3 linked regions of the Xenopus tropicalis genome follow. The protein of the gene in region 1 purifies or fractionates together with the protein of each later gene. This does not show direct contact. Links are inferred from orthologs where the notes say so. Each region holds a gene or a part of one and is shown in the gene's direction. Other genes may lie near its edges.

Evidence for each region. The genes of interacting proteins can lie anywhere in the genome.
Region 2: the proteins of smurf1 (region 1) and stk38 purify together in Homo sapiens (affinity purification with western blotting; 3 studies listed by BioGRID, with this or other methods). This does not show direct contact. The link is inferred for Xenopus tropicalis from reciprocal best matches to the Homo sapiens genes SMURF1 and STK38.
Region 3: the proteins of smurf1 (region 1) and smad6 purify together in Homo sapiens (affinity purification with western blotting; 4 studies listed by BioGRID). This does not show direct contact. The link is inferred for Xenopus tropicalis from reciprocal best matches to the Homo sapiens genes SMURF1 and SMAD6.

What each region holds. Positions count from the first base shown.
Region 1 is NC_030685.2:47,073,186-47,076,837, reverse strand, and holds part of smurf1 (E3 ubiquitin-protein ligase SMURF1), read left to right. Parts: intron 1-2,742; coding exon 2,743-2,981; intron 2,982-3,457; coding exon 3,458-3,542; intron 3,543-3,652. UniProt on the Homo sapiens protein: E3 ubiquitin-protein ligase that acts as a negative regulator of BMP signaling pathway. Mediates ubiquitination and degradation of SMAD1 and SMAD5, 2 receptor-regulated SMADs specific for the BMP pathway.
Region 2 is NC_030678.2:53,265,753-53,269,504, forward strand, and holds the start of stk38 (serine/threonine-protein kinase 38), read left to right. Parts: upstream 1-1,075; 5' UTR 1,076-1,083; coding exon 1,084-1,176; intron 1,177-1,386; exon of another isoform or gene 1,387-1,589; intron 1,590-3,267; exon of another isoform or gene 3,268-3,360; intron 3,361-3,752. UniProt on the Homo sapiens protein: Serine/threonine-protein kinase that acts as a negative regulator of MAP3K1/2 signaling. Converts MAP3K2 from its phosphorylated form to its non-phosphorylated form and inhibits autophosphorylation of MAP3K2.
Region 3 is NC_030679.2:117,261,660-117,265,411, forward strand, and holds the start of smad6 (mothers against decapentaplegic homolog 6), read left to right. Parts: upstream 1-1,538; 5' UTR 1,539-2,206; coding exon 2,207-2,600; intron 2,601-3,752. UniProt on the Homo sapiens protein: Transforming growth factor-beta superfamily receptors signaling occurs through the Smad family of intracellular mediators. SMAD6 is an inhibitory Smad (i-Smad) that negatively regulates signaling downstream of type I transforming growth factor-beta.

The sequences.
Region 1 (3,652 bases):
GCTCCCCACTAGCAATGTTCTGCTTGCATTGGCGGGGAAGCTCCTGATGTGGGCGGCCATGTTTCCTCACGCACATACCATTAATGACAGACCCTGCAAACTGCCTGAAACTGCTTGCAAGTTACATATGTTTAAATTCAGTTCACACAGGTTCCTAACAGCATATACACAACACCTAAATTATAAATATATCTCTGCCCCCTAGGTGCTACCTGCGCACTTGCTGAGTTACCTCTATACAATGGGTCCTATGTGGATTAAAAGCAAAACAAGTCACCCCTGACTTACTCAGACTGACAGTTCTTCAGTGAATTGCTTAATATCCTGGTTTAATCACACTTTCCTTCACCATTAGCCACACTGGTTGTTTTTTCCACAAACAGGCAGCCTTCCTGCTCTTTGACTTGCTCATTACAATTAAATACCTTTTCAGAGGACAATCTTCTAATTATATGAGCTGGGTAGGTGGAATGGAGTGTGTTTTTGTTTTTACCATACCTTCCAAACACTTCAGCATCCAAAACCCAACAGCAAGATTCTCCAAACAAAGAAAATATATTTTCTTTTAAACAACAACTCTATACAGTATACAAAGCGTATATCTCCTTTTGGGGAGAAATTAAAGGCAAACCATGTCTTTTATCTTATTCCTGATAAGGAAAAAAGTTTTTACCTACTAAGATTTATCTATTTAAATTTTAAGAACCAGATGACCTTGTGAGGTTGTTTTTGACCTATAACAAGTTAGGGCTCTGGCACATGGGGTGATTAGTTTCCTCTCAAGGCAACTTCCGCAATTTCACTGAAATTGCGCTCCGTATGCCATCCCACCGGCGATTTACATTTTGCTGGTGGGATTTCGGGGAGATTAGTCGCCCACGAACAGGGAGATTTGTTGCGGGCAACTAATCTCCCTGTGTGCCAGAGCCCTTAAGAGGAAAGAGAAGACAACCCTTCCAAGGTCTATCCAATTTACTTTTCTTAAAGGAAAAAAGTACCTCTCCTGATCACTTAAGGTTACTTTTCCAAACAAAATGCTAGTGCTTTTTGTTATACTAATGCAATAGTATCCATTAATGCCGCCCCCCAATTTTATTAAAGTGACAAGTGCTGTAAATAAAGTTGTCTTTATATCAATAGTATAGAGGAAGAAAACTTAAATTATTCAGATTTCAGAATACCTAACAGGGATGCACTTGAACTACAACAAGAACAAACACCCTATAAAAGTCTATTCGACTATTAACTTCTCTAAATAAAATGTACGTGAGCAAATTTCACCAAATTCTACTAATTGCATGTTCCCAATATAATTAAAGTGACACGTGGTAAAGGTAGCTATAAAATCACTAGTGGTATTGTAACCAACTCAATTGACAACTAGGTCACTTGTGCTGAGATTAATCACACCCCCCCATTAAAAAAAAACCAAAAAAAAAAACCCCTTAAAATTCAATTAGAAAACTAATAAGCACTTGGAAAAGGTAATGAATGGAAGGGTGGAGATATCCCAGAGAAAACGCTCAATTTTTGCTAACTAATCCGTAGGGATACCACAAAGCTGGAGAAGTCAGGCACCCAGGGCTGTGGTCTCAAATGTACCTTTCCTATATCTCAATTGGAGAGGCTAAGTTAGGGCTCTGGTACACGGGGAGATTAGTCGCCCGCGGCAAAACTCCCTGCTTGCGGGTGACTAATCTCCCCGAGTTGCCTTCCCTCTGCCATCCCACCGGCGAACATGTAAGTCGCCGGCGGGATGGCAGACGCGGCGGCGCGATTTCGGGAAATCGCCGAAAAAGACTCGCGAGTCTTTTTCGGCGATTTGCGCGAAATCGCGCCGCCGCGTCTGCCATCCCGCCGGCGACTTACATGTTCGCCGGTGGGATGGCAGAGGGAAGGCAACTCGGGGAGATTAGTCGCCCGCGAGCAGGGAGTTTTGCCGTGGGCGACTAATCTCCCCGTGTACCAGAGCCCTTAACCTATAAAACACACAAACCCTGGGTACCTTAGAGATAAAGATTAGATAAGATTCTTGGAATGAAACAAAAAAAAAAAAGGCAAATTAGCCAGTTAAAAGGCCATAGCACACTCAGACTCCTACTGTTACCCTAAATTGCTACCTCAGCGTCTAGTTTAAGAGATTAAAAGGTTTTTGAAAAATGCCTGACGCATGTTTTGCCAGAGCTTTATCAAAGCAAATTTTTTTTGCCTTTGATAAAGTTCTGGTGAAACGTACATTAGGCATTTTTCTAAAACCTTTTAATGTTTTTTAATATTTGAGTTTTAACCAGATGTTGGTGTTAGCTAGCGATGAGGACATTTTTTGCACACGTCAAAAAAAATTGCTCACATAGTAGAATTCTTTGCTGTTTCACTAATTTTTCAGCAGCTTTGCAAACTTTTTGCAAACCAAACTGGACAGATTCACACATTACTAATGTTGGCATTTTAATATTTCTAATTTAGAGTCTGTCAGTAAAAAATATTAGAGATTAAAGCATAAAGCACTCAAGCAAATACAAAAAAGTAATAGAAAATAATGACTATTAAATGTGACAGATATAAACCATTATTTAAGATATGGTAATATTTCCATAGTTTGCCTTAAATGGATACTCCCCCTTCCCCCAGTTTCTGCTTTTGACTTGGAATGTTTTGACTGTGCCTCAGTCTAAACCATCCAATCTGCAGCATGTTTCCTTGCCTATATCCTGTAATGTATTGTATTTCATATATATTCAGAGCACTTTATGAAGATGCTGGGCCTGGCAGGCCCCTTAGTTGTTTCATGGATGAGCCAGCCCCTTATACTGATGGACCAGGTGCAGCTGGAGGAGGGCCCTGTAGGCTAGTAGAATCGCCAGGTCAAGAACAGAGACTCCAAGCACAGAGACTTCGTGGACCAGAAGTTAGAGAGCATGTCCAGACACCTTTAAATCGATCCCATGGGTACCAGTCACAGGACTTGCCTGAAGGTTATGGTAAGGAATTGTTTCCTTATTTAGTAAGGTAGATCTTTTCAGTATTTAAAAAGCACCTTATGTGCGTGGACATTTTCAAGATGGGGTTCCTTGTTTAGTTATACTGTGTTCAAAGCATCTTGTAAACTGACCATTAGCTACTCTCCAATATTGTGACTGCAGTCTACTTCTAAAACCACTTTTAAACCTAGAGGTAAATGTGTTTTTGGTCAGATGAAAACAGGTAACAATTTTTGCTGTATGGCAAGTATTTATAAAGGTATATAAAATATTTTACACCAAAAAGCAGTAGAAAATAGTTTCTAGTAAGATGCCCAAAAGTGAAGAGAGAACCTTCTGCTGTAACCAATACATGTGGTAAGGAACTATTTTAAATGTTTGACTCAATAATTTCATGTGTTCATTAAACATAAACACTTAACATAAAATTCTTAATATATTTAACAATATTTTGATGTATTTGCTTCTTTTTGTAGAACAAAGAACTACGGTTCAAGGGCAGGTGTATTTCTTGCACACACAAACTGGTGTCAGCACATGGCATGATCCCCGAATACCAAGGCAAGATACATTTATTTTTCTTCTTCTGCTGTTTATTATGGAATTGTAACTGTATTCTAGAAGACAATGGAAGAGTCAAGCTGATTCTGTGTGATATATTGAGAATAAAC
Region 2 (3,752 bases), on another chromosome or scaffold:
AAAAGTTCTAAATACAAATTTTTTCTAATCGTGGTCATCTTGCTTTAATGAATGGGTCCCTTTGTGTTACTTTAGGGTTGCCACCTGTTTGGTTTTGACCTGAACAGTTCAGGTTTTCTTAGGGCTGTTTGGATCACAACTGGCTGTTTAGGTTTTAACCGTGTGAAACCCAAACAATAACAGAGCTGTCAACTCTACTATTTTTTCAAGTTACCCCATTTTGGCTTCTCTTCCCTGGTCTCCCAGCACCCAATGGCATTTCCCTGATTTTTGCACATTCTAACAAAGTTTTTCTTAAAATTCCGGGAGCACATGCGCAGTAAGCATTCGGTGATGTCATAGAAAGCATATGCACATTCAGAAGGGCATGTATCGTCAACAATTTATGTGCACCACAGGATCTCCCCTACAGAGGAGCATCTGGGGTTGATAGTGCTGCAATAATCTAGCCAACAGGGCCGCCATCAGGGGGGGACAGGGGGGAAACTGTCCTGGGCCCCGTGGATTTTTAGGATCTTAGGGGGGCCTGGCCGTCCCGCACTTATTGTACAAGCCAGGGGGGTTGGGTTGCCACCTCTGCCAGCTTTCCTCACCAGGCAGGGGGCGGGAAGAGGTGGGGCTATGATGTCATGGGGCAGGGAAGAGTTGGGGCAGTGATGTCACGGGGTGGGGTTATGATGCAGCATTCGCCTATTGGCCAATCACCGCGTCAATGCGGACGGGCAAATAGGAACAGATCTGCCAATCAGTGGGAAGTGCCAGAACATAAGAGACTTTATGGGAAGTGAAATACACACAGAATAAAGACAGAGGGTTCAGCCTAGGATTTGGGGAGTTCCCTCGGTTTGAAAAAAAAAATCCTGTAATCTCAAGGTAGTGAGCTGGTTATAGTGCACACTAAAGGGGGCGTGGTCAAAAAATGTTGTACTTTGCACTTTCATGTTCATGGGGGGCCCTACTTCCTGATAGCGGCCCTGCTGCCAATAACCACCTTAACCAAGGTTAAGGCCCTGCCCCTACAAAGGCACAAACGCCCCCAAATATCATGGCCCCACAGCCCTCTTGTCACCGCTCTGCCCTCCAATGTCATCATCATCATCTTGTACATTTTTTATTGAGGGCAAAGGTGGCATCCCTATTACGAACTCACGCCAGCCAAGAGCTGTCAATTCATTGGTAAGTATTGTTCCTTCAGTACTGCCCTACAAGCCTTTTGCAACAATTGTAAAACAAGGGCACAGCTGCCTTAAATACTATAAATAATTACAATATTATTTAGCGCAACAAACTCGCTTATAACACACGGTAACTAAGCAACCTTTACCACACGTAAGAAATGACGTAGATCAAAGGTACTTTTGCCCGAGACAAATATGGCGGAGAAGGAGGCCCACGTTCTGCCTGTACTTCCGACGCAGAGTATTTGTTGACGCTGGTGCCGCGCAGTCAGTGCAGCTTTCAGCCGCTGCTTTGAGGGGAGTGTAATAAAGTTCTCTGTACAAGAAAGAGTGGGTGAACTCGTTGAGGTGATCGGTCGGGGTCCCAGTCCTCGGGCTGGAGTTGGGGGAGAAGGCAGGGTGCCGAAGCGGGTGAGTCGCGGCTTATTTACCTAATAGACCTCATGAGAGCACTAGTTTCTACACTGTTGTTTTCCTTTGAAATAGTGGGGTGTGTTGGGGTTTTTTGATGGGGGAGGATAGGTACTATCCTATGTTGTGGTTCTGTTTTTATTTTCAGGCGTTTGTGTCTTATTGTAGCGTACATTTATACGTGTATATGTCTGCGTGTGTGTGTTTGTCTCTTATATACGTATGTGTATGTATATATGTGTTTGTGTGTGTGTGTGTGTGTGTTTGTCTCTTATATAAGTGTGTGTGTGTGTGTGTGTGTGTGTGTGTATGTATGTATCTATATATATGTGTGTGTGTTGGTGCCTGTATATCTATGTTTCTTTATATTTGCATTTGTGAGCATCTCCTCATGGTTGTTTTAAGCCACACATTCTAGCACCCACAAACTGACAGCCAACAGACCTGTGTAGGCATCCAGCATAGTACAAGAATAATATTTAGACACTTAGGTCTCTATTGCCATGAGAATAGCCTGGAAGCCAGAGGTAACTTTTCTGTCAATTCTAACTGAAAAACATGGCAGCTCTGAGGGCTGTTTCAGGTGTTTGGTGCTGTGTGTTTGGGCTACTAAAATGTATGGTTAGGGAAAATTGTCAAAATAACCTGTGCTATTGTTCTAGAGGGCAATTACAACAGAAATGTCACATTTAGGGCCTTCTCTGTATAGTAAATAGTAGACATTTAAGAAGTTTAGAATACAATAGTTTCATTACATTTACTTATAAACTAGGATCAGTTGTAATTTATGGTTCCCTGCACCCCTAGTAGACTTAAATGTGAAATTCGATTGGTGCTGTCATGAATGCTGGGCATTGTTAATTATATAAAAAAAAATATGCATAAAATGAACAACATGCCTTTAACAGCTACGACCTTCTTTGTACAGACAATTCATATGTAAAGGCTCCGTTACACCTTTTTTATAGTTTATAAGCCAACAGTAGGATGGAAATTCCTTCACCTGATGTGGGAATGCCCCGAGGTAGCACTATACTGGACAGAAGTCACCCGCTACGTTAATGTATGTTTATCCTTTCCTGGAATCAGATTTCCTAGGACCTGTTTATTGGGTATAATCGATGAAACAGTGCCCTTACACAAATCTAGAACACTACTACGCTCTGTTATGTTCTATGCAAAAAAAAAGTTGGTGATCATGAAATAGATGGACCCCAATTCTTCTACAGTGGGTTTAACTAATAAATAGTACACTACACCTGATCAAACTGATACACAATGCTCGGGGTGTACCTGGGAATTTTCAGAAACTATGGTTAGGTGTGAACTCTCATATACCCCTACCAGATGATTGAACTCTATGTATAACCCGGGGTACACCCCCATAACCCAGTGCTACATACCTTTCCTTTGCTCAGTGTCACTGTGGATATGACGTAAACAATTGTACCCAACCTAAGTGCTAAACAAATCTGTAAATGTTTTGTTTTTTTTGTTTTGTTTTGTTCTGCAAAATGAAAATAAAAACAATAGGATGGAGTCTACCCTAATTGTATATTAAAGGGAACAAAATTCCATGCCTAGGAAACTTCTTTTGAAACCTGTGTAAACTGAGTAACTTTGCAAACTGCAACTTTTGCAATTTATGTAAAGCTCATGTTTTTATGCAATTTTGTAGGTGCATCTCTAGAGACTTCTATGACTGCTGTCTCGAAGAGGCAACTGATATCGCAGAAGGCTGCAGATATCGGTCAACTCGTCGATCGGCCAGGTTAGAAGATTTTGATCGGGCGCTATTGAAGGCTCCCGAGCAAAATCTACGTTCAGGGTTGGACGGTAGGAACGATCTTTTGTGCGAACAATGGTCGCAAGAAAGATTGGAATTGCTACGTGTATGGCCACCTTTTAGAATTATTTGAATCTGACCCATCCAGCTTCCCATTTTATTGCCAACTTTCATGTAAATTAAACTATTGCCTGCTGATGTTAGTATTTTAGTGTATTTTATATTTCTGTAGCCAGTCTGTGCAGATTATCCTATGCATGTGTAATTTTCTGATGCAAAAGCCTTCTGTAGTATTTGTATATATATTTTGTATACTAAGATATTTGTACTATAGTATGTTAATTGTTTTATTTATTTAAATGTTTCTGTGGGATCAT
Region 3 (3,752 bases), on another chromosome or scaffold:
CTGAATACGCTCGGGTGCAGAAACTTGTTGCCGATATCTGCATAAAAACATGAGACTTTGCAGTTTCTTGCGTTTTTATGCAGATATTGGCGACGTGCCTGCAGCTGAGCATATTCAATTCATTCAGGTGCAGGCACAGGTAGGGGGAGTTTTATGTGTATTCTCGGCAAGTGTTTTTTCTGCTTGCCAAAAACATGCGCCATAGACTTTGTGTGGCATTAGCCAAAGGGTGAAGACACATGGGGCGATTAGTTGCTGCTACTTGTCATGGTGACAAATTAGCGCAAATTGTTGCGCCATTAGTCGTGCTGATTGTTGCCTATGGAAGTTAAGTCCCTAATTGCCCATGTGTCTTCGCCCTTAGGGCTGTGGCACATGTGGAGATTAGTTGCCCATGACAAGGAAGATTTGTCACTGGCGACTAATCTCCCCGTGTGCCACAGCCCCGATATGAGAATGTAAATAGCCGGTGGGATGGCATACGCGGTGCTGCGATTTCCCTAAAATCGCGGAAGGTTCCTCTTAAGGCAATGTATGCCATCCCACCAGCGATTTATATTCTCACCGGTGGGATGTCATATCGGGGCCAAACGATCGAATTATACTGGCGGCAAGGGGCAGTCGGTTCGGGGACCGCATCAACGGGCCAATACGGTCCCTGATCCAACTGAATTTTCTAACCTGGCCGATCGAGATCTGGCCAATTTCAGGCCAGATATCGGTCGGCCAGGCCCCTCGTTTCTGCCCCTAAATGGGCAGATAAGCTGCCGAATCGGTCCAAGGGACCGATATCGGCAGCTACAATCTGCCCGTGTATGGGGACCTTTAGACACTTGGAGCTACTTAGTAGCAGCTACTTGTCACAGCTACAAAACACCAGAAAATACCCTGCCATAGACAATACTGAGAATTGCCTTTGCTAAAATACACAGAGACAATTATCAGTAAATTGACAGCATTGTGTATTTTTGTATCTGCTACAAGTAGCTCCTGTCTTAGCCCTATAGTGAAAAAACACTACTCACTTTGCTCTATTCTAGAAGTGCAAAGAGCTGAGCTTCAGGGTGCAAGGAGAACATATTTCTCACTTTCTATATATTTGCTGATATTCATTGTTTTCCACATACATTCTCATCTGCTTTTTTGTATTTAGTTTTTTTGGTTCTGTATCATCCATCGCTAACAAATACATATTAAGAAATGAAAGTAAAAGGGCAGGAGACTCCATGTACCGGTCCAATAGAATGTACAGCACCCCATACAGCCATTGTTGTAGTTCAACAGCAGCTAGTGTGCCACAAGGTGAGCATCTCTGCCCTGGGGTGAAATGATGGAAACCCCAAGCATCTAGTTATAATAAGTAAATGACCCAGCGATTATCTGCTCAGCACCAAATAAAAGCACTGCTTTAAAAAAATGTATTTGGTAAAAAGTGTGGGACGTTTGTGAAGGTAATAGGGCAATTTTAAGAATTGGGAAAGGACTGTGGCTCCTTTAAGAGTTAAGAAACTTGAGATTTGTTTGCGCAACAGTCAGTGCAGCGGAGCCGCCAAAGTGTCTAGACTGCCATGTGACAGGGAACAGCCAATGGGAATGCTTTCAGTGGGCCCGAGTGAGTGAGAGAGGGTGAGCACAAAGAGCAGGGATCAGTGTGTGCAGGGACCGGAGCAACAGAGTGAAGCGCCTACTGCTATCGGGGAAGCTGAGAGGAACCCAGGGGACCGGAGCGGGGAGCCTACTAGGAAGTGTGCGCAGTGCAAGCCGATAGAGAAAGGAAGCCTGTGCGGGACGGTAGCAGCAATGTGCAGTGTGTGAGAGCGCCACAAGCCCGGCTGCAGTAGGCTGCAATCCCCGGGAGTGTAAGGGCTAGAGCCGTGCAAATACCCCGCAGCCCCGCTCTATCCAGCGTTCAGCATCCTTCTCCGGAGCATCCCGCTGCGCCCAGTCTCCGTGCCCCTGCTGGATGCCCTGTGCCGTGAGTACCGCCATGTGACAGCCGTGGGGGTTCCGTCTGGAGAAGCAGCCTTCCGAGATGTGACCCGGGAGGGGGACACCCCAATACGTGCCCAGCCGACTGACTCTCTATCCGTGCGGGCACCGGAGAGACTGGCACAGGAGAGAGCGCTCTTCCCCCATGCCGACCCTTCTAGTTGGCCCCGGGCACTGAGGCACCGGAGAGCCGGGCGCACCCTCGGGGGCGCGCCGCATGTTCAGGTCCAGACGCACCGGGCTGGTTCGGCGCCTGTGGAGGAGCCGGGCGGGCGGGGATGGAGGTGTCTCTTGCTGCGGTCTGTCGGAGCAGCCCTCTGGCTCCCCGGAGCTCCGCGCCGCTGCTTCTGCGATCCTGAAGCGACTGAAAGAGCAAGCCCTGTGCGCCCTGCTGGAGGCCGTGGAGTCCCGGGGTGCAGCGCCCGGAGGGTGTGTGTGTGTGACCCGACACGGGCCCCCCCCTCACCTGCTCTTGTGCAGACTCTTCCGCTGGCCAGAGCTGCAGCATCCCGGGCAACTGAAAGCCTTGTGTGGGTGCCAGGGAGCCGGGGGCTCGGAGAATAACAGTGTGTGCTGCAACCCCTACCATTACAGCAGGGTGTGCGGACCGGGTGAGTGCCAATGCATCCTTCCTAACAGCCCCTGCTAGGCTAGGGGAGAGCCTGGAGCATCCCTTGTGCAGATTATGTCTCTATCACTATTGCACAGTGTCCAGCAAATTCCTGTGAGTGATGTCTGTCCCATGGCCCCTCAGGTTGTTTTAATACAACAGGTAGAAGCCAGGATGCTGGGAGTTGTAGTTCAGCTTCTATAATCTCAGGCTAAGGGCACAGACAGGACATCCCTAATAAACACAGTCTGCTTCCCTCATGTTAGTGCACCCGCTTTGGTTTATTGCCCGGGGTGCCTTCATCTTTATCTCTGGCCCTGCCAATAGCTGGAGGCTGTCTACATATTATCATTATTGTTACACTTCTTTAATAGGTAAGAGGTTGCAGGAAATGTAGCACTAATTACATATTACTCTAGTTCCTCTCTTCCAGGAATGTACTTTAATGAAGTCATTTGAACTAAAGATCCTATGTCATTAACAGGTGCCTTATTGCTCTTTTGCTATTAGAGATGTTTAGACATTAGGTCTCTCTGGAAATTAATGATCCAAAATTTCCAGCATTTCCAACACTGTCAGCAGCTGGGGGAGGGGGTCTCTGGTTGGATACCCTGATTATAGTGATAGGGCATTTATAGTTTTGTTTGGAGCACTCACTGGCATAACTCTTACATATTAACCAAAATATTATCAGCGTAGTATAGCTGGAGGCAGAATGGTGGTCTGTTAAGGGCCTCATAGGCTGCCTGGTTTTGCTCGAGAACAATTTGCTCCTAACCAATCATACTGGGCTGAAAAATGGGGCACAGATGACAAGATCCACTTGTATGGTAAGCTGTCCAACTTGGATACCTGCATTATGGTCCACATCAGACTGGTTTGTCCCTAGTGGTGTAGCTACTAAGGGAGCTACGGGTGTGACTGATCTGGGGCCTACTACCCTGGTGAGTACTGAGGGGGGACCTGAAACTCTGTGGCCATAGTCCACGGAAGCCAATCTAATGGCATGGGGGAAGGGGGTCCCATGCAGTGGTAGCGCCTTGATGCAAATTTCGACCCATGAGCCCTTGTCTACACCACTGGTTGTTGGTGAATGATTAGATCATAAACAAAATAGGGGCCTAGGCAGACATGACAAGAGTCCATCAAGGGG